Regions from separate parts of the Mus musculus genome. Here all the other regions are reported to be linked to region 2. Evidence: microRNA targets listed by miRTarBase, many of them from high-throughput screens and not tested one by one. Region 2 holds a microRNA gene; each other region holds the end of a gene's coding sequence. Distances are between the middles of the regions.
The links. The annotated mature microRNA mmu-miR-19b-3p reads UGUGCAAAUCCAUGCAAAACUGA and lies in region 2 at 2,341-2,363, shown strand. An mRNA with a match to its seed (bases 2 to 7 or 8) in the 3' UTR can be bound and repressed. Matches are read on the target gene's strand: a 7mer-m8 pairs with bases 2 to 8, a 7mer-A1 pairs with bases 2 to 7 and ends in A, and an 8mer does both.

Region 1 (4,070 bases), not on the chromosome of region 2:
TGATAGGAGAAAAGGACTGACTCCAGGGACGCACACACACACAACTGGACACTGGTAGTGGTGGTTGTTTAAAAATAAGTAAATGGTTCTTAGAGTGGAGAGGGTGAGAGACTCCACTTACTGAGTGGAGTCTTGCATTTACTACTTGGGCATTTTGTTGGGTCTTTTAAGGATTCACCTTGTAATGGTGCTGCCTCGGATGAGGTTAGCTTTCTGGATTTTGCTGGATTATGTTATTAATGTTATAGGGTAATGTGTTACTTGCCCTTCACATTGTCTTATTAGCAGAAACCACTTCTTCAAGTAAAGAGGCATGTCTGTGTGTGTTCTGTAAGAATTATTTATGTTTCCTGTCTTTCCATCGTAAGTAGGAAAGAAATCTCACCTTAGGAAAACCACAGAGAAGAAGCTGCCCACCAAGCAGACTATCGCGAAGCTGCAGCAGTCTGACATTTGGAAGATGGAGAATGAGTTCTATGAGTTTGCTCTGGAGCAGTTCCAGTTCATCCGAGCTCACGCTGTCCGCGAGAAAGACGGAGACCTCTACATCCTGGCCCAGAACTTTTTCTACGAAAAGATTTACCCTAAGTCGAACTGAGCGCAGGTGTGGCCAGAGCACTCCTGCCCCGGAACTTGACTGTGTCACCACCCTTCTCAGCCCCCTGCTGATGCGTGTGCGAGCTGTGAGCCACGCTGAGCTGGGGACAGACATGAATGTCAAGGAGTGAGATGCTGGCGGGCTGGCGGAGTCCTGTGGAGTTTTTAACTTTCTGGCATTTTTACTTTTTTGTTGTTTTATTTTCGTTTTCATGATAGTTATAATCTTCTCCTGGTGCAGGGACATGGGGACTTACATTGCCTAAAATACACACATGGACGTTTAGTCAGATGGCTGAATACCATTTCAGAAGAGGTTTGCATAAGCATTTCTTTGCCTCTCCTTGAATGAAGAGGAGTCTGTTTGCCACTTACCCTTCTGGAGTTTGTGCCGCCACCTCTGCTGGATAGTGCTAAAATATGTTTGGCAGTATCTGATTTATTTGTATGAATCATGTCTCACAAAGTTTATTAGAATGTTTGATCGTGTTTTCCCAGAACATTTCTGCTACAGTTGGGTTTGCCCATATTTATGTAGGCTTTATTTTATTTTATTTGATGATCATTAGTGTTAAAGAAATCAACTTAAACCATGAATAATACTGTAAGAAGGTAAAAAGTTAAAGCAGTATTCCTGACTCCTGTCACCCCAGTATCCAATATTGGAATGATATTTCTAAGAATGTGGACATTATCTGAGGCTTTCTTAAGGATTTCCACATATCAATATCAAAAAATTGAGTTTAATACTTGTTCCTTCATGGCGTATCTGTACCCCTGAACACTGGCATATTGGTGACCGCACATGGCGACTCCATCAGTGAGCTGTGATGTGGGTAGGATTTGCCTACTCTGTACTTTTACCTGTAGACTATTTTTACTACGGTGCTTTATAATGTGTTTTAAAGCATTGCATTTACAAAAGGAAAGTGCTGTAAATATTGCATATTTTATGTATTTGGACCAAAAAGTTACAAGTAAGTAGACAACAGTGGTGTTGCACCCGTTTTATTATGTCGAGTAAAGTCGTCAGACCTCCTATCCTATTCTGGTATTTCTCGTTTAACGTTACTGTTAGGATGTCACTAAAATGAGCTAACGTAGCCTTTCAAGTTTGATAGAGAACAGTGCTCACCCCTGAGGCAGTAGTGGTCATAGAAAAGGTCGTAGAGTCTGAGGGTTCCATCTCTGGTTCCAGCTCTGCTGTCACCTTCCTGCTGTGTGACGTTAGGAAGTCACCTGACCTCCCTGCCTCAGCTTCCTCATCTTGATATCAGGACACTAAGACCTTCTCTCCCTGCCTCACAGGGATGTTGTGAGGACTAAGGAAGATGGCATGGCGAAGAGCACTTTAAAACTGTGGCGTGGTGTTCAAATGTGAGGTGTTGTCACAGAAGTATCTCTAGCTGATAGTTTCATAGTCTCTATTTTAGCAACAAAAAGGGAAAATCCACTTTTAAGCTTTATGAGAAAAAAAACCCCTTCCTCTTGATATAAATTTGTGTTTGATAAATATCTTCTCAGTGTTTTATCTTCTGTGCTTAAGCAACTATTGAAGTGTGAACGGCTTATGCACTCGAGAGACTCAGACCGTCACTAGCTGAGGAGCAGGAAAGCCTTCTATAAACTTGAAGGATGTTCTTGTTTGTATCTAACTTTGTCATCCGAAAATGGTGGCTATTTTACACTTGTGCTTGTTAAAGTGTCCTTTGTAGAATTTAATTTCTCTATTAATTCTTCACCTACTCCCTCTTTACAGCCAGGATTCAGATTCCTCTCAGACACACTTTTCTAAAGGAGTAATTATTTGTATCTTTAAATGTTTCTAAACAGGACCTCATCAAACAAAGCATTTTCAACAGAAGACTTTAAAGTATTTATTGTGTAATAGGAGGAGTGAAGGACACTGTATATCAGAAAGCACTTAGGAAGATTAAAGGAACGACTGAGTCACAGGCTCCGCCGAGATGAAAGTATTAGGGGAACATAGCAACGTTTCCCTTCCCCCTCCGTCCTTTCCAGTGCAAGTTTCTAGGTCCTGCTAAAAGCAAGTTGTTTTCTTGTCCAGGCAGGCATCTGGCTGTTGAGTAAATCTGAGGTTATTCTTGAGAGTTCGCACTAAACTCTTAGGTAGTTAAGGCAGCACTTAGAACACTAACTGGGACTTTCCCTAAACTGTCCTCATAAAAGACCAGGTAATGAGTCAGGTCTCTGTACAGCTCTTACTGTTGGAAAGTCGCTGTCACAGACAGGAGAGGCAAAGGGCCGTGGTTAGAGCTTAGCAAAACCTTTATTTACAGAACAGAAGGCATACTAGATATGAACCATGAGCCGCAAGCCCTCGCTCACCCTGTGAGGGATTGTCATGGAGAAGCCCTGTCTGTGTCCGGACCACGTTCCCCAAAGAGTTCCTCTACCTCCCATGTCTCCCAGATCGTGACCCCAAGGACTGCTTTCTGACTCAGTCCCTCCCCAGCTTCCTTCTGTCTTACCTTGCTGTCAGGTGACTCGTTTTCCTAGCTCACCTGTACAGATTCGGGACATTTCTTTTATCGCTTTTTGGAGCGAATGGATTCCAAGTGTCCTTTCTGGAGACTAAGAAAAGGGTGGGCTTGCTTCTCTAAGAGTCCTGGGAGCCTGAGTCCTTAGAACATATAACTGTGTAATCAAATGAATAGAACCACTGAGACAATGTGTATTTTTTACATGTGGCAAATGCTTTTCTTTTTTTGGCCTTTGTGCTTTTTCAGTAATTTGACCTTAGAAAAAAATGGTTTTTATATGATAGTAAAGCAAAATAACCACTTTGAATTTTAACGATAATGTCAATGTGTGTGTGTGTCTATGTTTATTTCCTACAGAAGAAGAGGTAGCTTTGTGTGTTCAGCTTGTACCAACCGTCTTCTTATTGCTGAGAAATGGCCACTATTGATAAACCTTTCTGTTTTAAAATGTAGTGGGGAGGTTATGTTTTGATCTCCTCTGGCTTTAATTTCTAGTGTCACTTGAATATATCTGGTAGCAAACCTTGAAGCACCGCATAGGAGCTGCTTCTGTGTCCCCTGATAGTCACACAGTCCCTAACATCCGCTGCTTCTGGCCTCCTGAGCATTGGATTTAAATATCCAAAACCCTCAAAACTCCAAGTTGCCAGCTTTTTAAACACTTGCTTTTCCCTTCTGTGCTGAAAATCCAGATAGCACCTATAATTTGGACTCTATTGATCTTCCTCATTATGTGTCCTGTTGGAAACCCCTAAAATTGTCTGCTCCATCAGGGAACTTACCAGAGTATTTTGATGTTGTATTTGCATAGATGGATATGAAATAGTTTATAGATGACAATTCTCTTTTTTGAATAAAATGAAATTTTTGAAAAATCTAAAAGTACTAGAGAACTTATCTAAAGCCCAGTTCCCTAATGCATAGCTAGTGTTTTAATTTATGTTAAAATTCTGCTCAGAGACCATCTGT
Region 2 (4,070 bases):
GCGCGCGCCACCTGCCAGGGCGGGTCACTGGCAGATCCCCTACGCGCTTGTTCTGGATGACTGGACCAGGAGATGCGTACCTCCGCGGGCGCAGCTGTGATCCCAGAGAGTTAACTAAGGTGGGAGGGGATGGAGCTGGCAAGACTTGAGAAAAGCAAAGTACCTGAGTGTAGTTGAGGGGTGCCAGGCAACTCGTGAGAAAAGGACTCTCCCTTGTTGCTCTGAAGGTTTCTGGAGAACTTGTGGGTGGTCAAATGCCAGGGTGCACGTGGGGTGTGGGGCGGGAGGACTCCCGACCTACCTTGGTTTCCCTCCCACCAACCCGAGAATGGAGGGAGAGGCTTAAGCTTGGCGCGTTTTGGGGGCTTTGAATGGAGAACTCCGTTTCCCATAATGCTTTGTTTCTTTCTGTTTAATTTTGGTGGCCGCTAAGGTGTCTTGAAGACCTAAGCGCGTGGCATGACTGGCTGGAGCACACCCTGCGTTCCCAGGAGGTTCACAGATCTCTACTGGAGCCGCTGCTGAAGATGCGGGAATAGACCAGAGAAAATCCCGAAATGGTAAAAGACTGGGTCCTCTTTGCAATTTTAGAAGTTGTACAGCGACTTTCTAGTATATATGATGGAGAGCAGATGTGTTAAAGAAAGGTATTAGCTAGAAGGAGCTTTCTCTGGAGGGCTGAGGTATGGTTTTGCGAAGTTGAGTCAGGTTTTGTAATATATTTTTAGTGGAGGCAAAAATCTCTAGTTGTAGGAACCCAGTTCAAGAAGAAAAGTATAATAAGCCAATACTTGCACTATAGGAAGCAGATTTCATATTTACTTCAAAAGTTTTGCTAATTTATATTTAAAATGTTTTAAGAACTATCTTAGTCACTAAGTGGCTTCGAAAAGTTCCAACATTTAAAATATCCTTTCTCATTGAACACATTTCAAGTTTTGTGTCCCTGAAGTTTATTGGTGTCCCCCCATCAACACAAACATTCCATCATGGGAGGGAGGGAGCTCGTGACCCCTCAGACTGTCCTCTGCAGCATTTTCCTGGGTAAGATACACACTTGGAAATGAGAGAGGTTTTTCCTGTGGAAGATAATGACATGAAGCCAAAGAGCTAATCTGACTTCTTTAGGTTTAATGGAGAAAATGGGTCCATAAATGTTTAAACAGAAGTAGAGCCCTTTGAAATAGATGAAAATGTGACATCTCTAGGCCATCTGTGCGGTATGTGAAGAGTGTAAAACTGTTTCTTAAAGCGGCTCTGAAATTTCTATCATTTTCTCTTAATGGGCTGGGGGCAGGGATGCTTCATGTAATCAAACATAGAGACCTTCCGAGTGGCTCCCCAAAGCTCTGGATGAGCTCAAGACGTCAGTACTCACCCTAATGTTATTTATTTATTTTTTTGCTTACATCTTTTCCTGGGCTCTTGCCTCTTAGAAAACCATGGTGGATATTACAGCTCTGCAAATTTTCTGGGATGCGAATCTCAAATTTCCTTAGACGGAGAGGGAGTCCAAAATCCTCTTACTCTTAAGAGTCAGACATTCTGAGATTGCCAGTGTTATTCATGTTTAAGTCTGTGTAAATAATTGAGCTTATTAATGTTTGAAGTAACACAACCCCATTTGCACTCTTAACGGAAGGCAAACTTGTTTTAGAAATAGTAACTCACAGTTCACTTACTTGCTGTGTGTGTGTGTGTGTGTTTATCCAGGTGAGTCTGCAGATCTGGCAAAGAAGAGTTCGTGGAAGACTTCAAGGTTACACTCCTGGAGTATGCCTTGGCCATGTCAAAGTGCTAACAGTGCAGGTAGCTTTTTGAGTTCTACTGCAGTGCCAGCACTTCTTACATTACCATGGTGATTTAATCAGAGGCCGCTGAGTCCCCTGGTTTCTGCATAGTTAGATTGTGGATGTTTTTGAGCTGCTCCTTGTAATGTGTCTCTTGTGTTAAGGTGCATCTAGTGCTGTTAGTGAAGCAGCTTACAATCTACTGCCCTAAATGCCCCTTCTCGCACAGGCTACTTCTTACCTTGCATTTGAAAAGCATATCTTGAGAAATGATTTGAACGGCACAAGTTTCAAAGGCTCTTTCAGTGTTTCGCCGAGAAACAGATGGCGGAGACTGTAGTATACAGTTGTGTAGAAGAACAAGCTCGGATCCTAGTAGTGCCAAAGTGCTCATAGTGCAGGTAGTTTTTATACCACTCTACTGCAGTGTGAGCACTTCTAGTACTCCTGGATCAACCAAGGTCTTGTTGAAGCAACTACAGCGCAAGGACATTGCTACTTACGATTAGTTTTGCAGATTTGCAGTTCAGCGTATATGTGAATATATGGCTGTGCAAATCCATGCAAAACTGATTGTGGGAATGTGTACCTTTCTGCATCGTAATGGACACCTTTATGCACATCTTCAGCATCCATGCCCATTCATCCACAGGTGGGGATTGGTGGCATTACTTGTGTTAGATATAAAGTATTGCACTTGTCCCGGCCTGAGGAAGAAAGAGGGTTTTTAATCGTCTTTTAGTTTCTGAGTATTGTAAGTTATGTTAGACTGTAATTATGAAATGAACTGTTTTGCTGTTATCAGGTGGAACACGATGCAATTTTGGTTGGTGTAATAGGAGGAAAATTGCACGGTATCCATCTGTAAACCGCAGGACCTATGTGGACAGCCGTCTATCAGTGCTATAGTAAGATTGTAAAATCCTTTAGCTAGTCATTGCTTTGAACACATTTGGAGTGGATTTTTTTTTTTTTTTTTTGGTTTTTCAAGACAGAGTTTCTCTGTATAGCCCTGGCTGTCCTGGAACTCACTCAGGGTGGCCTCGAACTCAGAAATCTGCCTGCCTCTGCCTCCCAAGTGCTGGGATCAAAGGCGTGCGCCACCACGCCCAGCTTGGAGTCTAATTTTTTAAAACTACATATTTTTAAATATATTTGAAATCCTGACATTTTGATTGCACTGAATGTAAACAAACCTGAAATTTGCAAAATAAAGCTGATATATAAGTCTGAAAAAAAATGGGTTTCTTTTTTCTTTTTTAAAAGATTCTATTTATTTATTTATTTATTTATTTATTATATGACAAGTACACTGTAGCTGTCTCCATAGACACCAGAAGGTGGCATCAGACCCCATTCCAGATGGTTGTGAGCCACCATGTGGTTGCTGGGATTTGAACTCAGTACCGCTGGAAGAGCAGTCAGTGCTCTTAACCACTGAGCCATCTCTCCAGCCTGGGGCTCTCTTTTTTTTCTCTCTTTTTTTTTATTAGGTATTTTCCTCGTTTACATTTCCAATGCTATCCCAAAAGTCCCCCATACCCACCCACCCCCACTCCCCTACCCACCCACTCCCCCTTTTTGGCCCTGGCGTTCCCCTGTACTGGGGCATATAAAGTTTGCAAGTCCAAAGGGCCTCTCTTTCCAGTGATGGCTGACTAGGCCATCTTTTGATACATATGCAGCTAGAGACAAGAGCTCCGGGGTACTGGTTAGTTCATATTGTTGTTCCACCTATAGGGTTGCAGATCCCTTTAGCTCCTTGGGTACTTTCTCTAGCTCCTCCATTGGGGACCCTGTGATCCATCCAATAGCTGACTGTGATCATCCACTTCTGTGTTTGCTAGGCCCCAGCATAGTCTCACAAGAGACAGCTATATCTGGGTCCTTTCAGGAAAATCTTGCTAGTGTATGCAATGGTGTCAGCGTTTGGAAGCTGATTATGGGATGGATCCCTGGATATGGCAATGGCTCTCTTTTTAAATTAGCAATACTATTGGCTTTTCTAAAATAGCGTCTTGGTATGTAGCTCTGGTTAGCTTGGAACTCAATTTGTAAACTAGGCTAGCCTTGAACTTGCGGAGATCTGTGTGTTTCTGCTTCTAGAATGCTGAGATTAAAGGTAGGCACCCCTCCACTCCTAGACTTCCAGCATTTACATACATTTATCTATCTATCTATCTATCTATCTATCTATCTATCTATCTATCTATCTATCTACTTATTTAGTGTGTGTGTCATGTGGTGATTTGAGAACAACTGTAGGGAGCTAGTCATGTG
Region 3 (4,070 bases), 91 Mb from region 2:
GCCAAGTAAATTTCCATAGGATTTCATGACAGTTAAAGACCAAAAAAGGAAAAGAAAATCTGAAGGACAAAAGCTGGCAGGGATTCTTTAATTAGTGAGTACTCGAAACACAATTAAATGCAAAGGAGCATATTTGAAAATGTAAAATTACACTAATGCAGTAGTTCTTAACCTGTAGGTCATGACCTCTTTGGGGATCACATATTAGATATCCTGCATATCAGATATTTACAGATTTACAGATATTACAACTCATAACCAGCAAAATTAGAATTATGGAGTAGAAACAAAATAATTGTATGGCTGGGGGGTCACCACAACATGAGGAACTGTATTAAAGGGTTACACATTAGCAAGGTTGACAACCACTCTATTCATGGGAAGGGAGAATTCTAGTAATTCTTTTTTTCTCTCCCTTTTACAGCATCCGTTTTTAAAATTAGCCAAGCCTCTGTCTAGTCTCACTCCTCTGATTATCGCCGCAAAGGAAGCAATTAAGAACAGTAGCCGTTAGAACTGCAAGCCTTACCCCTCACGGTCTCCAGGATGAGTAAGACTGAAATAAAACTCTGCTGCAGGATCCACAGAAGAAGAGACAGTCAAATGGAGTGGGGGCTCTTTAACTTTTAAGTGAATAGAAACTTCTTATAAACCTTTTTCCTACTCCCTCAGATTATGTAATTTATTTGTAAGCCTGAACTGCAGCCCACACAGGGCAGCAATGTCGAAGTAGCCATTAAGTGGCCACTTCCACCGTGAAGCGAAAGAGCCAGTAGTGAATCCCCTCATTTTGTGCATTTACTTTGAAGAAAAAAAGATTTCTCAAAGATGCACACTCCCTCTTCATAGTGCTGTGTTTGTTTTTAAGTTAGAGAGTAGTCCCTCTTTCATTCGAACCTCTTTCAAAATCCCTTACCCAACGTGATGTTTTTTCACTTGCATTGTCATTAGATGTTCAGAAAAATAAAAGATGTCAAAATGTTTTTTTAAAAAAGAAAACCAAAAAAGAAAAAAAGAAAAAACAAAACAAAAACCAACAAAAATGAAAAAAAAAAAAATAGAACAAGTGCCGTGTGAAGCCGTGGACGTCCATGCCCTAATAGAGTCGCAAGCTTTTCTTCTTCTTCTGTAGTGGTGGCTTGATTTGTCTACCCATTTTCTGCATTTGTATTGGAAAAGGTTTCCTTTAAGACATTTTCCAAAACCAGAGAGGACTATGAGTGTTCAGGATGGTCTTTTAAACGTTGTGTCATAACAAAGCTCGAATTGTGAGATCCTTTCACATTTCGCATGGATGCTAATGTAGTAGTTGAATTGTCATGTAAAGCAGCTTGTTGGCCTCTGTGATAACAGAAAAAGGACACACTGAAAATGTGGCAGTGCTGCTGGGTGAGTCCAGGTGATCCTAAACCTAGGATATCCTGATGAGAGAAACCTTACTTACACAAAGATGGGACTTTGTCTGAGAGCCAAAAGGAAAATGCATCACTCCTCATTGGGCAGTAAATAAGCAAAGATAATAGTGAATTTATTCCTCTCTTGTGCGCCTGTAACATAAGCATTGTACAATAGGCACATTCTGAGGAAATAGATCCATTAGCCAATGCTTTTCATGATAAAAATATTCATTTTTGGGCAATTTGTAACACATAAGAATTTTTTAAAGAGCTAGAGATCAGAGATATAGTAAAGTATTCAACTCTTTAAGAAATGGAAAGTCAATGAAAGTTACATCCCAGTTAACACATGGCTCTAAATACTTGAAAATGATTTTTCTATGTATCTCCAATCTCTTTTTCGGCACTTGATCTTGGTATGTTCTTATTTAGTTTCTTGGGCTTTTGTCCTTTAAAAGCATGTTCATAAAGGTGTTGGAAGTTCACCAAAAAATTTAATTTTGATCTGTATTCATATTTCCTAAGAAATAGCCCAATGGAATTCCTTTTGTGGCTTGAGGAAAATTCCAAAATTTGACTATTATTTCACTATTTATAGTTATTAAAAATTTATTAATCTTCTGTGAGTAGAAAAACATCTGGAAGGTGTCTGCATAGAAAAGGATATGTCTCTTTTGAGTGTATAGTCAGTTGTATGAATTCTAGAAAGTTGTTTCTCTAAGCCTTTGACAAGCCAACAATCTATGTTATATGGCATTTCTTAATTTGTAGAGTTAGAGAAACTGAATAGACATTACCTACATTCAGTGGGGGGAGCAAGATGAGGAGCAGATGCCCCTCTGCCCTGTGAGGTCCATCTGTCCATTTAAGCATCCATCCTTTCCTTGAAGTGAAAGCACTTTCTCTAGAGTTTCTGCTGATCATCTAGTACATATGTTTATGTTGAGAGATGGTACCACTGGTGGATTTCCTATTTTCCTATATTAGAAGATTTGGGAGGGGTTTACTCATTCCCTGAAAATATCCACCATGGAATAAAAGACAAATGTGAAAAGAAAATCAAATGATTATATTAATTTCAAGTTTATTTTGCAAAGAGATATCTGGGCCTAAAATTTAAATGTCACACCTCTTTAGTGAGAGAGGAGGAACCTTAATTTTTTATTCTACTTTATTTTAAATTGAGGATTTTCCCACTTGTTGTGCCAGGGAATTCCACAAAATACCTGGGATGTAAATAGAATCCAATTGATTGATGGTTATGCTCAGCTAATAGAGAGAACCCAAACCCTGGTTGGGAAGTCCAAGACATCAGTTAACACCTTTTGCATGTTGTAAAGGCCTTTATTATTGTTGCTGTTGTTCTTGTTCTTGTTGTTCCTGTTGTTGTTATCCTTATTTAGAAGACCCTGGAGCTGTGGTCCTTCAGGTCACTGTTGGCAGAGAAATGGCTGTTCTTGATGCCCTCCACTCTGCCTATTAACAGTGAAGGGCCAGGTACTTATTTACCATCACTTTGTATCAAGATTTAATAGTCTGTTCCAGTAGGCATTACTTGTACAAAATTATACCTGTGTACATTTTCAAATGAGAACAGCTTCTAAAGTCTTTTACTTGTGTTGAAGAGTTACATATATTTCTAATAAGTATTAGAGAGAAACTATTTCTCATGCCAAAATGATGCTGAAGGGTCCATACTTGCTATACTTGAACAACTTAGCCTCCAGATGGTTAGTAGTTTATTCCCTTTCCTTGATTTCATTTTGAGCTCATCTTAATCCAGGTGAGGCTGTTCAGATCTTTAACATTACTAGTGTGCCCTGAGACATTTGTGGGCACATTTTTGAATGTCAATTCAAAAATGTCCCGAGGTAAGAATAGGGCAGTGGCAAAGTCAGGGAGGGGTGAGAAGCACAGTAAAGTTTATTTATTTAAGAAAGAATAGAACATTAATATTGTAGCAAGGATCCAGTTTGTTGTCAAAATCCCATGTGGTTTTGGGGATGACGTAATCCCCCTAAATCAATCAACATGTTGGATAATGACTTCGTTCTTGCTGATCTTGTCTGTGTGTTATTGTAAATATTTGTGAGTCCATGCTCCATTTTGGCTACTGGATGGCCAAGTCACATGAAAAGATTTAACTCAAGTATTTATTCTTTAATTGTGTTCTTCAGATTTCTTTCAGGCATATGAATTGCACCTCCAATGTTTAGTTGAACCACCTATTCCTCACATCTATCCCTCCCCTATGAAGCACATTCCATTGCTAAAAGAAAAAAAAAAGAAATATAAATTGCTTCCTGTTTTCTGTATAACTGTTTTGATAGTTTAAGATGTTTGTCTATAATGGATATCTCTCACCTCAAAGATCGTGTAAATAATTATATCCATTTCCTCAATGGGTCGTTTCTTTCTAATGAGGCTGCCAGTTCTCAGAGAGAGTCTATGAAGTCACTTTTAAATAATACACACAGGGATTACATCTATGTAAAAAGAAGTGTGAATATGGATAAAGACTGGGAACACAGAAAACTGAAATCAGTTGTGATAGGGTGGTGGGGTTCTGTGATTTTTTTTCTTTCCGAAATTTTCTTTCTTTGATATTGATATATTAATAATTTAAGTAAATAAACAACAGAAGGGGAACTATAGAAACATAGAAGAGATGCC
Region 4 (4,070 bases), 88 Mb from region 2:
TCCACAGATGTTCATATTTCTGTTACTAGGAGAGACACTATTGGTCCAGAGCTCCCAGTACAAACAAGCCTGGGGTAAAGCATTTGATAAAAAATAGTTCAACAATAGTCTAATAAATATTCTAGCCAATAACAATAACACAGCATATTTCTGAAGCTGGCAGACCACACCATAAAAGGCAGTTTTGCCTGACCTGATGGCAATAAATCTGGCCAACTTGTAATACACAGCCAAATACAGCCCAATGGCTCTAAGGCTGGAATTGGCTTCAGGAGCTACAAGTAAGTGTGGGAGTGGTTCATGTCTACCTGCCTCACATTTTCCATTCCTTGATAGAAGGGGTTCCAGCATCTAAGCTTGTTCAAAAGTCCATCCATGAACTGATCCATCCAGGTAGTCATATACAAATATGTAAACTGAGAATTCACCTAGAATGTCTGAGCTGAAAAGTATATATAAGTGATTTTGTTACAATATGAACTTCACTGCATCCAAAGACACACAATGGAATTACATCATAAAAACACAGCCAGATGCAGTTACTCTTATAAGTAGCAAGAACATCAATGTGGCATTAAAATTTCTTTTGTAGTCTCAAAACAAGCTTAGCTTCAGTTTGTGCTTTCTTTAATAAGACAATATAAAAAGTGGAAACAAGCATAAATTGCAGACAGAAAATAATTTTCTAGGAGAAAAAGTTCTGAATAGTTAGATGGAGTAAAGCGACAGCAACCATGTTTATAGAATCATCTTTCTTGATGATGTTAAATGGTCATGTTCCATTGGTGCAACTGGCTTTAGCTAGAGTTACCCTCTGGTCCCTTGCCAGTGTTCTATGAAAGTCTTTTAAGTTTACTGAAGTAAATATCTGGAACTCACCATAGCCCTCTGAGTGATTTGCCACCATTTTGTTTCTTGGAAGGCATTACGTGCCTCAGAAGCTAGCATTTCAGAGTCAAGCTTTATTGCTTCCCACAAACCTCATTTAATTTTTCAGTTTATTCAGTAGGCTTAACTCTGCCTGTAATAAAAACTTAAATCTACCTTCAAGAACAACGTTCATTGAAGTTCATGAAAGTATGAAATGTAACTGGTAGAATGATACCACGTGCTCCAAAGACAATTCTTCATGATAACTGCCAATCTGGAACAATGTTCATTTGTATGTATAAGCCCTGGTACATTTACAAAATAATAGCAATACAGACTAAAGCAACCAACTTGCCCCCAAGAATAACAAATATCACAAATGGACATCACAGTCAAACAGCAATTAGAATTATTCATTTCTTCGTTCATACATTCTTTCAACAAACATTAGCCAGCCAACTACTTTGTTCCAGACACTGTTCTGGGTCTTAAAAATACAACAACAAAAGCCACAGTGCTTACCCCAAGGTAGTCTCATTCTAGGGAAGATTATTATTCTACATTAAACTTTGTGTGATTCAGAACAACCTGAGAAGCTTGTCTCAAATGTAAGTTTCCTTATGTTCATATAGTTTAATTAAGTATATCAGGGGCAGGGGCCAAGAATCAATTGTTTTAAGGAACAAATCACTAACAATACTTCTAAAATGGCTCTTTACATGATGGCATTCTGAAAACACTTCCATATTATTGCTGGGTGGGGAGGGTCTCAGTGTGCCAGGGGAGTGCCACAGGGAGCCACAAATGCCAATTCCAGAGGTCACTAGTTAGCTGAGAAGATGGGATGAGGAAAGGTAGTCTAAGCTGCAGTCCATAGTAGAACGGGGAACTAAAGCTTTGTTCCCAGGACTAAAACGTAAAGAACACAAAAACAAATGAATGGTGTTGGGGAAGAGATGAACGTTGGTGGCACACATAGTGAATGCCAGGCGCTGTGCTCGGCAACTGATACACACTAACCTTTTTACAGCTTTACATCATAAACTGGGGATCATTTTACAGAAGAGGAAACAGGTTTGAAGAAGTGCGTTCCTGAGGTCACACTGTTAGGTAAATGGCAGAGAAGCTAGGGCTATTTCAATTACAAGGCTGGGAGTTTTATCATACCACAAGCCAACTACCAGCACTGTTGAATTTTACTGAAGTTGCTCATTTCCTAATGAGCTATACGGTACATATAATCTTTGAAGGCAGAGAACCTGACTTTGCTACCTGGCATGTAAATCTAAGTCTTTCTTTTGTATTGGCACAGGTCTTGCTTTTTTTGTGGTAGATAAGCAAACAATCTGTAAGGATCATTAGGTGAGATTTACAGAGATATGTTGTCTCTTGTGCATAAGAGTGAGACATTTGACACCAAGGTCTGCATTCTAGTAATATGTGCATTCTTGCAGCAGTAATGTGGCATCATTGAACAAATGAATAAATAAGAATCCACCATGCTAGTAGAACGAGGGGCTAACGTTTGACACTGTATCAAGGCTACATACAATCCAGGGAATGGCTACTACTATCATTTAACAATTAAACAGTAGTAATCATTTTACAAGTGCCAAGAAGTAGATTTGGCTCCTGGAAGAAGGTTCTATTTCTCTGGCATTTCCAATTAATCTCCGCAACAGAAATGGTGAAATCACAGGCTGTGAAGCTCAACTTCTGTGATAAAAACGAGGATGGAATTTATGTTTTTGTTTGTCGTGGAGGGGATGCAAATGAATGAATAGTATAAACAAAATTCCAAAAATAATGAGTATGATCCTATCGAGGAAAACAGCATTTCAGTGCTTTGTCTGAAAATATAAGTACATTTGTACACATATAGTTGTTGAACCTGTAACACTCCATTCTTACTGTTCAAGTAAGGTGAGTTCTGAAGAAACTCCATTATACAACTCTATTCTTAAGCCTAAGTCTAGTAACTTTGTATTTGAGAATAACAAAACTATATTTCTTTGAAATAGTCTATGATAGTTTTTAACAATTCAGATGAATCTCCTCCATTAAGCAGTATCAATGAAATTAGGCTATACGAGACACTTCTCTACCAGAATCCAATTTCTATGTAGCATTAGCATCTCTTGTGCAATCTTGTCCCCAGATCTCTCCTCATCTAACCAAGAGCTCTTTTCACTTCCTGTGTCTTGATTGCATGTGTTTGTACATGAGGCAAGAGGGAGGAAAGAACGGCTGTAAGGGAAAGAGAGAGAAATGCTGGCTAGCCATGATGGTTTTACCTAAGAGTTAGGAATGGACAGTGTCATTTATTTTCCTTTTCCATATATTTCTTATTTAAATGGGCAAATTAAGGTTTATTGTGTATACATAATAGATAAAAATTATCTGTCATTTTGCTCATAAAATGAATTCAGTCATTTTATATATTATATATGCACGTATATGTTGTTCTCAAAACCCCTCTTTTATTAGTTTATTAAAAAGTGACATATAATAAATGATAATTTGACACTGTGCAAATTCTACCTGGTCAAACTAGCCATTACTAGAAGGGCTAATTGCTAACAGTATCATTTATACTCCCAAATCACTGGGAATTTTAAATTCTCCAATGACGACAGAGATACTCTCTAGAATTCTTCCCTGGTGGCACAAACCCAGACTATTCAGATTAATTTGTTCTGAGTAACTCAATACATGAATTCAAACATGATTTTTAATGCACAAAAATTTAAATCTACGATATCTAGTTATTTCGAGTGCTTCCAATGGACTTTAGTTTGCATCTCATATATGGAGCACTAATGGAGGCTTAAGAGGGGAAGTGCTGAACCGGAGAGCCAGTGACTTACATGCTCTCTTGACACTTAATGGCAAGCTTTCATCCCTGACACATAAGGGGATTCTTGAGGCCTGCAGTTGCATTCCTGCCGCTCAGGATAATCAATAAAATCAGGGGCAGGCAAGCCAGAAAGAATCATTAGGGATTTGTTCCAGATTGTGAATGTTGGACAAACTGGAAGAATGAAGGTAACATCAAAAGTATGAAGATGGAGAGAGTTAGCTGGGTCATAGAAAGACAGCATGTTGTTGTCATAATCCAGAAGGACACCTAGACGCTTCAACTGTGGGGGCACATCCACCAGCATTTCCTTGTTGTTGTGCCGAACCACGAAGTTACTGTT
Region 5 (4,070 bases), not on the chromosome of region 2:
CTTCATGGATCTAGCTTTAATATTTACTTCAAAAATTGACTTTCGAGCATCACTCAGTGGAACACTGATGTAACTAAGCAGTTAGGGGGTAAAAGGGTTCAAGGAGGTCAAGAGTTCAAGGTCATTCTCAGCTCCTTATTAAACCCAAGGCCAGCCTGGCTGCAGGACAGAGATCTTATCTCAAAAAAAAAAAAAAAAAAAAAAAAACCAAAAACCTTCCAGTTTCCTTGATGAATCTCATTAATATTTATTGAATATCAATTTGATGACAGGAACTACAAGTACTGCAATTCTACATGATTAAGACAACACCTCTTCAGAGTCCTTAAACTCTAGCAGCTGGACGAAAAGAATTTGGGTAAGGTCAAACAGACAGACACAAACAGGTCCTGCAAACACTGCTGGATGAGATTGACAGATACCTGGGAAGTCTTTGTGTCTGGGAGAACATTTTTCAGAGAGGATTAACTCAGGGGAGGCTTGCCTTGAATGTGAGCAGCACCACCCAAGTGATCAGAGGCTCAGAGGAAATAAAAATGGGAGAGGAAGCCGGCGGCCAGTACATAAAAGATTCAGTTTTCCTTGGTGAGTCCATCTACAGCTGCCGTTATCACCCAGGAACTTGAGACTCCAGCTTCATCAGCCATCCAGTATTGCCTAATATCAGGGACTCTCCAGGGAGCTTGCAGGCCATCAGAATCACACTGGGGCAGCAGCATCCATACCCCTGTCCCAGAGATTTCAACTTTTCAAACCAAGCAGTTACTGGCTTCCCTTGATCTCCTCTCTGCAGATGATCATCTCAAGGTTGTCCAGCCTCTGATCATGTGAAGTAATCTAATAAATCCCCTCTTACAATTATATATGGCTTCTATTGGTTCTATGCTCTAGAGAATCTTAACACAGATGTTTAACAGCCTTTCAAGTCATTCAAATTATCCTCAATAAGATGTAAAACGCTTAAAATGAGACTTATGAGGTTATAACTGAAGATTTTAATCAGAAAAAAATGACTTAATAAAGCCTTAGGTTCTTTTTTTTAAACCTCTTTTGTTAGAAGATAAGTATTGGATTGTATGTGAAAATGACAAGATTTAATGAGAACAAATAGGAGTGACTAATAACCTAATAAGAGTGAATACGGGCCTCGGAAATAGCCATAGCATGTATGATGGGGATGAGAAAAGTGAATTGGTTCAAGAGACAGCTAGGAGTCATATTAAAATGCAGGAATTGACTAAGTATGGATAAATGGAAAAGGAATTTAGGGGCTGGTTCAGAGAGTCAAGTGCTGGGAAATAGTGTACAATAGATTGCTGACCACCTAGAAGTGGGATTGGAGACATTTGTACCTACCTGGCAGGTTCTGCTTGGGGCACAGTGTGTATGTGTTGGTGGGGCCAATACAGACATGTTTCATCAATTGATGAAGATACAGGCTTGATGTTCAGGAGAAAGATCTGGCCAGAAAATGAAGACTAATGCGTTCTCACAGAGCACTCATAGGTCCCTGTGCCCTGTGAAAAGGGTGCTCACAACATAGAGAGGGACTCAGTTTCAGCCAAAGGACAGAGGGAGAGCTACATAGAAACTCTACACAATTCCTCAAATTCTTTTTATTTTGACATTAAAACCAGCACATAAAAGATGCTTTAATACTGAGTTGACATATGAACTCAATCACAAATATGTTAATTGAATCACTAATTGGATTCCAATAATTTACCATCACAGCCGGAGTCACAGTAACAGACAGGTTTTGTACAGGATAGGAAATCTGCAAGGGGCATAAAGACTTCACAACAACCTTCTACTAAGATCTTAAGCAAGTATCTTACACATAGAAAGTAAAAAGCTTCTTCAGATGACTGTGCAGAGTCCAACAGGAAAGACTGTCTTTTATAGTTCAACGATTCACTTCAGACAGCAGTGTATAAGGTGGACTTCCCGTTCCACCTTAGATTCATTTTTTTCTTCTGGTGTTTTATTCCTTTTCAGTACTCTAGAAGAACAATTCACTTTGAGACCAATCTTTTATTTCCACACTGAAAGGAATTTAATAACAGCCAGAGTCTGAGATTTAAATATATATACAAAATTAATATCATAACTAAATATTAGACTACATCAAATATTTCTAAATTGTGAGGAATATACTCACAGATTCTGCCATATTTACAAAAAATATGCCTACACTGAAACGTCAGCATCCAGAGAAGTGCAACTATTTTAACATCTCATTTTTCGTACTTTTCTGTGTGAACAAAATAGAGTTTTAATTATCTTTGGCTGGGTACCTTTGAAATAAAAGCTATATTCATAAAACTATTAAATAAAATTTTCTAATGCTTCCCTATTTATAGATATGCTTTTGTTTTGTATATGTATTTATGTTACCAAAAATATAGTCATTTAAAAAAGAGAACATTTATGTGAAATTTGTGGATAAAAACAAAATTTTCAAAGTGGAATAAACTCAGTTTTGGAGATTTCTTACCAAATGGGTTCACTTTAGTGAAATTATATTTTTACTTAACTTAAATTGGTCTATTGTGGATGAACTCCAAAGAAGATAGTTCTACAGTGTCTGTAAACATGTTAGAGCTGTGGTGGAGGGGGTCAATTTTTTACAACTAAACTCAAATTGTTACAAAATTATGTTTTAGTCTGATTTAACTTTTAGTGTGAACTTTGTTTGCTCTCATGCAGGAATGGTAACAAAAGTTGTGTGGTTCCAAAAGGCTTTAGCAGTTAGCAAGAAACAGAAGAGCTGAGTTGCTCGCTTGTCATCCAAACAGTATCTACCTAAAGCAGGAATGGCTATAACAGAAATAAAGCAATTGTTTTCATTCCTTTTCAGTATGATAATTTCAGATTTTGATTCTGAACTAAAAAACAAACTTTCAACAGTAGTGCATTTGATCTGAACAACAACTAATTGCTCACTGATTATATAAGAATCTCTCCCATCATTGCCAAAACATTACTCGTATAGCAAATGTGTTTATTCTCTTGACGTTATCTTGAAGTCACCGCCTTAGGTAGCAAGCCATGTTTACCTATAGCATTCTCATTTGGGTTTCATCTTAGGAAAGACAATAAAACCAAAACACCCTAACAGAGAGCCTGTAGCTCCCTAGGGAAATCTGAGTTGTTTAGCAGCTTTTCATCAAGTGATGAGGGAGCCCATGGAGTCCACAGTGTGCCTGATGCAGATCCTACTGTGCTCTCAGAGATAACACTTACTTCTCCCTTTTAACCATGCTGGTGCCAACTCCTTGTTCTGTTTTCCTTCCCTTCTCTACTCATAATTCAACCTACAATCCAAGCATCGGTAATCAGAACGTTGTGCCATGGCAATCTGTTTATTTTTACCTCCTTCTGCCAGCCAGTTTTCCAGAAATAAAACTGCTGGGGCTTCGGTTCTGTTGCTTTTTGAGTCAATACAATGGGAGGTCTGCATGCACTGGCCAGAAAACCTTCCCTAACCAGATTGGCAGCGCTGGTTACAATTCACCCATGTGCTTTCACACCTGTGTCCTTACACATTGGTAGCCTCCGAAAAAGAGTCAGTGGGGCCATTGTTCTTTTTGACTTCCAGGTTCTTTTTAGCCTTGAAGGTCATAGACACCTCCGAGTGAATGGCATCCAACCTCTGCTCACAGCGGAAGGCCGAGAGGAAAGCTTTTCTGTAGTTGCTATTCATCCAACCATAGAGAAGGGGGTTGGCAAAGGTGGAGCACATGGCGATAATGTGGAACACGGTGAAGATGAGTTTGTACTCCTTCAGGTCCAGGACGTGGCTGTCGATGTCCACAGCGAGTTGGAAGGCGTGGAGGGGTAGCCAGCTGACTGCAAACACCACTACCACGCACACCAGCATTTTGGTCATTTTGTGCCTTCGCTGATGGTAATGGTCACTTGCAGCTCCAGGACTGACGTGGTTCCTCAGCTTACTCCAGATACGGGTGTAGGAGAAAGATATGATGCCCAGAGGCAAAACGTACAGGATGAGCAGGGTGGAAAGGCTGTAGACTGTACCATACACACTCTTCTCTTCCCCAGGCCAC
Region 6 (4,070 bases), not on the chromosome of region 2:
GTATCATTAAATATGAATTGAAACACTTGGCATCTCAAAGAATGGCAGAACTTGCAATTAACTCTGTGACATTAGTGATTTATCTCCCCTTCGTTACTTAAATACACATTTTACTACCATGGCCTATTTTCATGAGCTGTTCTTGTTTGAAAAAAAAAAAAAATCTAACTGTGAAGAGCCTCTATGTTGTACAATTTTGTTATAGTCTTGGAAAGTTGAACATCTAGCCAACCTAGAATATGCATCTATTTATGTTATAAAAAAGTAACTTTGAATCTAAGTTTAAAATGAGAGGAATTTAAACCAATTTTGCAAGGGCTCTGATTTTATAAGAATCTTATAAAAATCTTGCTTTGAGATCAAGGGTGGTGGGAGGGGAAGCAAGAAAAATAAAATTCTCAAGATTTGTTTGTATTTGAGTATTTAAGTTTGGGCAAATTAAATTGACTTGAAAAATGAGGACAAAACTATATTAATGTTCTGAAATTTAAAAAAATATAGTATCACTATAGTGAAAACATGAAGTATCTAATGACAGAACTTAGAAGTTTATTTCGTATTTAAATGTTACTTAATAATAGGGCCCTAAATATCTAGAGAAATGTTCAGTAGCAGACAGCAGGTAACTACATAATACTTGTTTTTGCATTTGGTAGCTAACATGTGATATGTCAAAGTAGTTCTCCAAAACCTGTCAATAATAATATAGGAGTTGCTAGCAAATTATCTTCCCTGAGGTAAGAGACCCTATTTAAGACAGTGTTAATATCCAATGAATATGATCCTTAAAATAATGGCAATAAAGATCTGTAAGACCTGTGGCTAGTCTCACAAGTACATTCCAGAATGCTATCTCAACTGCAAGCAGTAAAGCTTAATTGTAAAAACCAAACTAAAGACTATAGGAAGGTATAAAGCATTTCAAATACTAGCATTTGCTAAATTTCTCAGGTCTCTTTCCTAATTATTTCCAATAAACACCTGAAACATAGTTTAAGGGGTGGAAGATGAAATGGCTAGATAGGCTTGTTCTTTAGTTTCTGAGTGACCATTCCCTTGGAGCTAATTGTATACTACTCATAATACTTGGCAGTGTCTTGTTTCCTTCAACTTGAGCAATTGTTCATTACCAGCCTTCTGGACATACACTACCTTTAACTGCCTGGACTTCGGGTCATCAACTCAAACTTGGTATGGTTACAAAATGGATTACTGAAGAAAAATATTTACAGTATTACTTCAGTATTCAGTGAACACTGCAAATAGAACTGAATAGCTTTAAGTTACAGTTATGTTACTTCTAGGGCTAAAAAACCATTTTTACTTGAGATCACAAGCTATTGTGCTGCCCTGACATAGCACAGTGGTATCACAATGGTAAAAATGCATCTACACTCACATAAAATACACAAATAATGTTTAAAACAAACTCTCTCAAAATTTACCCCAAACCACTAATAATCTCATTCAACTGATTTGAAATATGTTCAAGAATTCTGATGAATTCTCAAACCTGTTTTTTGTTTGGTTGTTTGTCTGTATTTTCTATCAAGGGAGAACCCAAACTTTTCTTTATACCCAATTAAGTTTCTAACCCTAAATACCACTACGGTCACTAGAGACAATGAAGTATTGTCAGAGATTAAGTCCATCTTCTAACATTCACATGTGCATAATTTACACGAAATTCAAGTATTTAATAGAGAGATAAAATTAGTCTCTAGCCAGGCATGGTATAGTATGCCTTCTAGTCCCAACACTTGGGAGACGGAGGCAGGCAGATCTCTTTTTAAGGCCAGCCTGGTCTATAGAGTGGGCTCCAGGCCAGCCAAGGCTACATAGTAGTAAGACCATGTCTGGAAAAAACAAAACTTGTTTCTGATACTCCTACTTTGAGATCCTGCCAGTTATTAACTTAAAATACCAAGCCACAGAAGAGCATCTGTTAAAGCAGGGTGATTATATAATTTATTTGACACAGTACATTTTCTGCTTATTGAGCAGTTTTTGTGTACTTAAACCAGGAAAAAAAATTGAGAAGAGTATCTCAGTGGCTGACTAAGCCAAAATAATAGTGGTTAGTGGAGGGGTTGGGGGGGCATTAAAGCACAGCTAATTGTTAAGAATTTGGCTATCTTACTTCATGCAAAATTAGTATATGAAAGTTATATATTTTCCTGGAACTTTAATATAAATGAATGAGATAAAATATTTCAAAGTATGATGTGATAAACACTAACCCAGGTGTGTGTGGTGGTGTACATTATCTTAAACTCAGCTCCACTTTAAAAACATCTAGATTCTCCCTTCCTTCCACATTCAACAAAGTGGACTTTCAGTATGTAGACTCACTTAAAGATACTATCACAGAAAAAAACAAAAAACCTCCCTTATCTAGAAAAAGTTCAAGTACAACATTCTTTTCGAATGAACAGGAAGAGATTTTTTTAAACACCTGATAATGTATTTTCTGACATACAATTTTGTAGAATTGCAAACAGTTCTGCATCTGTTACATGTGCAAACAGAGATAGCCGGGCTTTGAATGCTCTAAGAGATTATATTAACATACATTTGTCATTCGTTCATTCAAATTCAACTTAATTTCAGTAAACAAAGGAAGATGGACTGAAAACACATTTACAAATACAAATCTACAGAACAGAATACAAGAGCAGTACCAATCTCAGGAATATGCATTGTTTTTACTACATAAGCATGAAAGCAATATAAGCAAATGCTAATGGTCTACTGGAGTAAACTATGCATCCAAACTCAAGTGAAGCTGACAAAAAGAAAATCTTAAGGACACTAAGAAAAAAGGAAAACATTTTTGGTTCATAGGGGCTTAGAGACATTTAGCATATACAGGCTTACACACCACTGTGTCAAAACTATAGAACCATTCATACAGATAAACTCTTTGTGACTCTGACATACTCTGAAAATTAGAAATTAACTACTGCTACCATTATTTTTAAATATTCTAAAACAAAATGCCATTCTCTTTTATGTAAGATTTTAAAAATAATAGGTGGAACTTGACAAGGCCAAGATTTAAAAAATACTGGCAACATATTATCAACAAGAGCACACAACTGGCCATATCTCAGACCAACTAACTGAATCACACTGATTTTATCATACTAGGGTAGATATTTCTTCCCAAGTTTGCTCAAATCAGGAAAATGTTGTATCACTACTCTCTTCTGTCAAGATATTTTTGCCAACAATAGCTGTCTCTATAATATTATAAGTAATCTAATAAAGTGTTTTATGTATTTTAAGATACATTTAGTTCAGGTAAACTTGAAATCAACATTCTCATGAAATGTAGGACGGCTACCTTGAAAACAATGTGTACAAACTGTCATTTCCTCTTCAATTCTGGCCTGTGCAGAAACCAAACATTTAACAAGAGAATTTTCATGTCTGGAAATTAAGACTTTCATGGAATTAAAAATGACAAAGAACTTCCAATGAACCACATATCTGGAAGAAACCCTTTCAAAAGATCTAAACTAATTTACAAGAATTCAGAGCCAGCCTGGGCAGCAGTATATTAAAAGCTATTGCCAATCACACACTTGCTATCATGCACTGAATAACAAGATATAATCTTTGAATTATATACGTACAAGATTTTTAATGACTACTCAAGTTATGTGGCCCAGCCAACAAATATTACATATTCACAATAAACATTCTGCCTTTATTAGCCTCTAAATTAAATCACGAGTGATCCATCGGCTCAGTTGTGTTAGTCGTCTCAGCATCTTGACTATCCATCTCTTCAGGTTCCTCCATGGAATTTTCTTTTTGTGCTTTTGACCTTGTGGCAAATGCTGCTCCCAGTACATCTGCTACATGACTATCAGTTGTTTCAGTATTCAAATTCTCAGTGCCACCAGTTAAAGAAAACGGTTCAGGCAAGCCAGTCTGAAGATTCACAGGCCTCACAGAACTCACAACTTCGACTTTTCTTTGGGAAAGATCAGATGGTGCTTGCTCTGCACTTTGATCCCGCAAGTGCTTGTCCATTGAAGCCTGAATAGAAGAAACCATTTCCT
Region 7 (4,070 bases), not on the chromosome of region 2:
TGAAAAACACCTTTGGGGGCGTTTATGTGGCCATGAGCCACGCTAGGTCAGTGTGGAGCTCACAGCTACATTCTCCCCACAGTGCTCAGCATCCATTCCCTTTCTACCTACTACCTCAGGAAACTAGTGTTTTGTTATCAGAATATCCACATACATGATGCGCAGACTGGGGCCCAGGAGTGTAGCTCTGTCCTGCATTCCACCCTGTCATGGCTTCCTGGCCTGTGGCACTCACTGACTCTCATGACAGACAGACTCGCATGACAGAATTGGCAGCACAGACAGACAAGCAGGCACTTACACAGCTGAGCTCACTGTGTCTGCACAACCATTAGAGAAAATGCCCCAAGGCACACTCATCCAAAGGGTGAGAGCCCAGAGTAGTCCTGTGTCCAGCATGGGGCCAAGAACCAGGTCCAACAAGGTCTTGACTATTTGGCTATCTCAGACCACACACAGAGGCAAGAACAGAAACAAAGCAGACATACTTGAGCTGCTAAGTGTTCCATGGGAGCTGTTCGCAGCACAGCGGAAAAATAGGAAAAAGGTGGCCAGCACATCTTTCGAAAGGGAAGAAATACTAAAAATGTCTTGATATCTAATTACTCAAAATGTATTCCAAATTTTGGCCTGTGGGGTAGGCTATGGTATTAAGATTAAAATCATCTTTCCCCTGCAACACCATTATCATGTAGCTGCAGCAGCAACAGTACCACCACCAGCATCATGACCACCACCATCACTGTTATTATCACAGTCACTTTCCTCCTGCTTGAAAAGGCTTCCCTGCTTCATTGTCATCCTACTTGGATGACAGGAGGAGGGTGACTATGATTATAATGGGGATGATGGTGGTCATGATGACGATGGTGGTGGTGGTAACGGTCATGGTAATGGTGATGGCTGTAGTGATGGTGGCGGTGGTTGTGGTGATAATCATAACCATCATCACAGTCATCACATCATATCCCCATTACCACCATGACTGCCACCACCACCAATCATGACTGTATCATCATCATCATCACCACCATTGCCATTATCACATTATTATCACAATCATCAGTATCATAACCATCATCAGCATAGTCATCATTATGTCATCATCACCATTACTGCCTCCACCATTAACACCACCACAGTCACCATCATCACTATTATCAATAACAGCATCCTGACTACCCTCACCATCATCATCTGTTCCTCTGGTTTTACCCTTTATGGGTTTTTTTTTTCTGTCTTTCTGGAGTAGCGTTGCTTGCACAATTTGGTTTTGCCCTTGGAAGCCTAGGATCACATTAGTCAGTCCACACCAGTTTCAGCAAGAGCTGAGACATTTCACATTGATAGTGGAAACAGTTCATATGTAACATCTGTGCAAAGGATGTATGAGACGCTCGGTGTGCTTCCGAAGGCATCCTCATAGGATGGCAAGGATGCAGGAAAGGAAGACGGTGATGGGGCATTCTAGAGGAGGCGTCCAACCCTAAATGTAGCTATTGTGGGCAGAGAGGGGAGCCAACTGCTGGTTTAGATTTTCAGTATTAATGCCCTGCAATCAGAACCATGTGTAGCTCCTGCCTCACCCATGATCTGTCAGCCTCCTGAACATTCTGTCCTCTCTCGTGCCTTCTTTAGAACCTGGCCTAAACCCTTTCTTCACTCTGTGCCCTTCTGGCCTTCTCATTCCCTCTTCCTGTGTCATCATTGCTCAGCCTGAGGGTTTTCCTGTGCTGAGTTTGGAGGACCAGAGATGAAGTAGAGATACTGGATGAGATTGACCGGGGAGGGAAGGGACTTCAAGAGTTTTCGTGAGATGTCACGGAGCAAATCAGGGTGTTGCAGAGCTCTGGAGGTTGGAATGGGAGAAGGAAAATGTCACCTTCGGGGTACTGGTTAATTGCCTCGTGGAATAGCAGTAGCTTTGATAAAACAAGGTGCCATTTACTGCTTCTGTCATGTCTGGAGTGTCTGCAGCAGGAGAAGCATGGGGCGGGTGACATTAATCCATACTGGAGGTCTGTCACACAGAGAGGGCATAGAAACTTCTAGTGTATCACACAGGGCAGATTGAAGCATTCACAACTATTAACTCATACATGCCACCTGTCGTGGAATGAACCAGCACTCCAGTCCTGGAAAAGAAACCCCAAGGTTCAGAAAAGTTGAGGAACATATCCCATTTCACACAGACTCCTTCAACAGGCAAAATCAGACCCAAATCTGCTGGGCTAGCACCCACAACTTTGGCTTCCACTAGTGGACACATTTTACAGTGAGCAATCATGAAGAACTAGAGAGAGAACTCAGTGTAAAGAGCATTTGTTGTTCTTGCAGAGGAACCACATTCAATCTCAGTACCCATCTAGCAGCTCACAACTGTCCGTAACTACTATTTCAGAAGATTTGATGCTCTCTTCTGACCTCCACGGACACCAAACATGAACGAGGTGCACAGACATACAGGCAGGCAAGACTCTCACACATCTAGAATAATCTAAAAACTAATTTTTAAACAGTAATCTTTTATGAAATGCTGAAAAGAAGACTCACACAATTTAATCGCATATTTTAATCTAATAAAATGATTAAATTCAGAGTTCAGAAATATAAAAGATTATCCAAAACAGTTAGGATCATACTCGTTTGTAGACAGCATTGACATGAGCCGGTCACTTCTTGCCTCTACACAGTTCAAATGAGCAAAGGCCTTCTGCAGCATGCGTTCACAATGCATCTACAGACATACATTGAGAGGCTGGGGACCATGAACAATTTCCCATATAAACCACAATCTGAAAGAATTGCCCCAGCTCTCCTCCCATCTGCCACTGTTCCTTGAGAACAGAGAGTACAGACTGACCTAGGTCAGAAAGTGACAGCCAGCCATACACCCAATCTAGTTCAGTCTCTCACAGTATGGTCATCCAGTTCATAACCTTCATCCCATAGTGGCCTTGGGTGAATTCCCTCAAACCCGATGCCTCCACAAAATGAAATTGACATTCTCAGCTGCCTGTTGTTCAGCACTCTTGGGACGATGTAGTCTAGCTGTGCCTTCCTCAGGATGTGGTCCATGATCTCTGTAGAAGGCATTTTTCCTTTCCAGTGGACCCTAGCAGGATGGCCCAGGCACTCAGAAGTGAGGCAGGTAGACTGGATCCTTCCTGGGCCAATGAGATGGAGTCGGCAGGCCAGAGTTAGATGTGCTCTCTGAAAGAGGACTCTCTGGCTGCTTGTCCATTCAGCTCCCCGGGGATTTAACAGTAGGGTTGGCTCAAGCAGAAGCTAAAACTGGAGCCTAACAGCATAGTCTCAAGCAGGGGCTACTGGAAGTTAAGGCTATGCCTGAGCTAGTGCCTGTGTGACCCATGGTGTGAGTGACATCTCTAGAGAGCAAAACTTTATGAAACAGGCAACCACTGCAAGCTTCTAAGGATACGGTAGGCTCTGGCTGGCATCAAGAGCACGGAGAGCAAGCCAACGGAGACTGCAGGCAGAGGAAAGGGCAAGGGAATAAACCAGGCCCTCCACAGAGGGACGAGGAAGTGAAGTTGAAATGCATTTAAAACCCACCCCACCAGCACAGATCTTGAAGGTCAAACAAGGACACATACATTGTATGTGATTAATTTCCCGAAGCCAGCCTTCCGTTTTCACAGATCACAACAGTCCGTTTAAATATCTCATTTCTACAAAGTGAATTTACATTTAAAGTACAAAGTGCAAATACTATATGTTTTTTGTTTTTAATTGCTCTTTGGTGAGGGAAAATTCCCACATGTCTAGGAACTGTCTTGAGTAGTCAGCCGTTCATCCTTGTTTCCTGGGCTGGAGAAACAAAACAAACAAACAAGCAAACAACAAAATGAAGATAATCTTAGGAAGATGTCTATGTCTTCCCTATGCAGACAATGACTTGCTCCTGAAAATAAACCTACTTGCTATGAGGGAAGCCATACAGGAAAGGACAGGGTACCTTACAGTAAAGAATGAGTGGGCCCGTTGTTTAGGAAGTCTTTTCTTCCCTGGAAATCACCAGCAGAATATATCATCTGAGAAAGATTGCA

Region 1: the mRNA of Hs2st1 is a reported target of mmu-miR-19b-3p. The part of its 3' UTR that is shown has no 7-base or 8-base seed match.
Region 3: miRTarBase lists Pak3 as a target of mmu-miR-19b-3p. The part of its 3' UTR that is shown has no 7-base or 8-base seed match.
Region 4: miRTarBase lists Mid2 as a target of mmu-miR-19b-3p. Seed matches in the 3' UTR shown: 8mer at 3,398-3,405 and 7mer-A1 at 3,010-3,016.
Region 5: the mRNA of Npy2r is a reported target of mmu-miR-19b-3p. The part of its 3' UTR that is shown has no 7-base or 8-base seed match.
Region 6: the mRNA of Vcpip1 is a reported target of mmu-miR-19b-3p. Seed matches in the 3' UTR shown: 8mer at 2,518-2,525.
Region 7: miRTarBase lists Smoc2 as a target of mmu-miR-19b-3p. Seed matches in the 3' UTR shown: 7mer-m8 at 3,724-3,730.

The regions. Positions count from the first base shown.
Region 1 is chr3:144,431,016-144,435,085 of GRCm38, reverse strand. Hs2st1 (heparan sulfate 2-O-sulfotransferase 1) reads left to right here. Exons shown (of 7, transcript NM_011828.4): 7 at 372-4,070. The coding sequence ends at 598. Among named protein-coding and RNA genes, the nearest start is that of Gm34434, 51 kb to the right of the region's middle.
Region 2 is chrX:52,740,284-52,744,353 of GRCm38, reverse strand. Mir19b-2 (microRNA 19b-2) reads left to right here and starts at 2,288; the gene lies at 2,288-2,371. Mir363 (microRNA 363) reads left to right here and starts at 2,587; the gene lies at 2,587-2,661. Mir92-2 (microRNA 92-2) reads left to right here and starts at 2,426; the gene lies at 2,426-2,516. It overlaps Mir20b (microRNA 20b), which reads left to right and starts at 2,162; the gene lies at 2,162-2,241. It also overlaps Mir18b, Mir106a and Kis2.
Region 3 is chrX:143,790,811-143,794,880 of GRCm38, forward strand. It overlaps Pak3 (p21 (RAC1) activated kinase 3), which reads left to right. Exons shown (of 16, transcript NM_001195048.1): 16 at 425-4,070. The coding sequence ends at 514. Among named protein-coding and RNA genes, the nearest start is that of Capn6, 35 kb to the right of the region's middle.
Region 4 is chrX:140,763,564-140,767,633 of GRCm38, reverse strand. Mid2 (midline 2) reads right to left here. Exons shown (of 10, transcript NM_001358366.1): 10 at 1-4,070. The coding sequence ends at 3,753. Among named protein-coding and RNA genes, the nearest start is that of Eif2c5, 11 kb to the left of the region's middle.
Region 5 is chr3:82,536,780-82,540,849 of GRCm38, forward strand. Npy2r (neuropeptide Y receptor Y2) reads right to left here. Exons shown (of 2, transcript NM_008731.3): 2 at 1,604-4,070. The coding sequence ends at 3,542. Among named protein-coding and RNA genes, the nearest start is that of Npy2r, 9.3 kb to the right of the region's middle.
Region 6 is chr1:9,720,750-9,724,819 of GRCm38, forward strand. Vcpip1 (valosin containing protein (p97)/p47 complex interacting protein 1) reads right to left here. Exons shown (of 3, transcript NM_173443.3): 3 at 1-4,070. The coding sequence ends at 3,733. Among named protein-coding and RNA genes, the nearest start is that of Mybl1, 23 kb to the left of the region's middle.
Region 7 is chr17:14,403,256-14,407,325 of GRCm38, reverse strand. Smoc2 (SPARC related modular calcium binding 2) reads right to left here. Exons shown (of 13, transcript NM_022315.2): 13 at 2,536-3,831. The coding sequence ends at 3,814. Among named protein-coding and RNA genes, the nearest start is that of 4930474M22Rik, 6.3 kb to the right of the region's middle.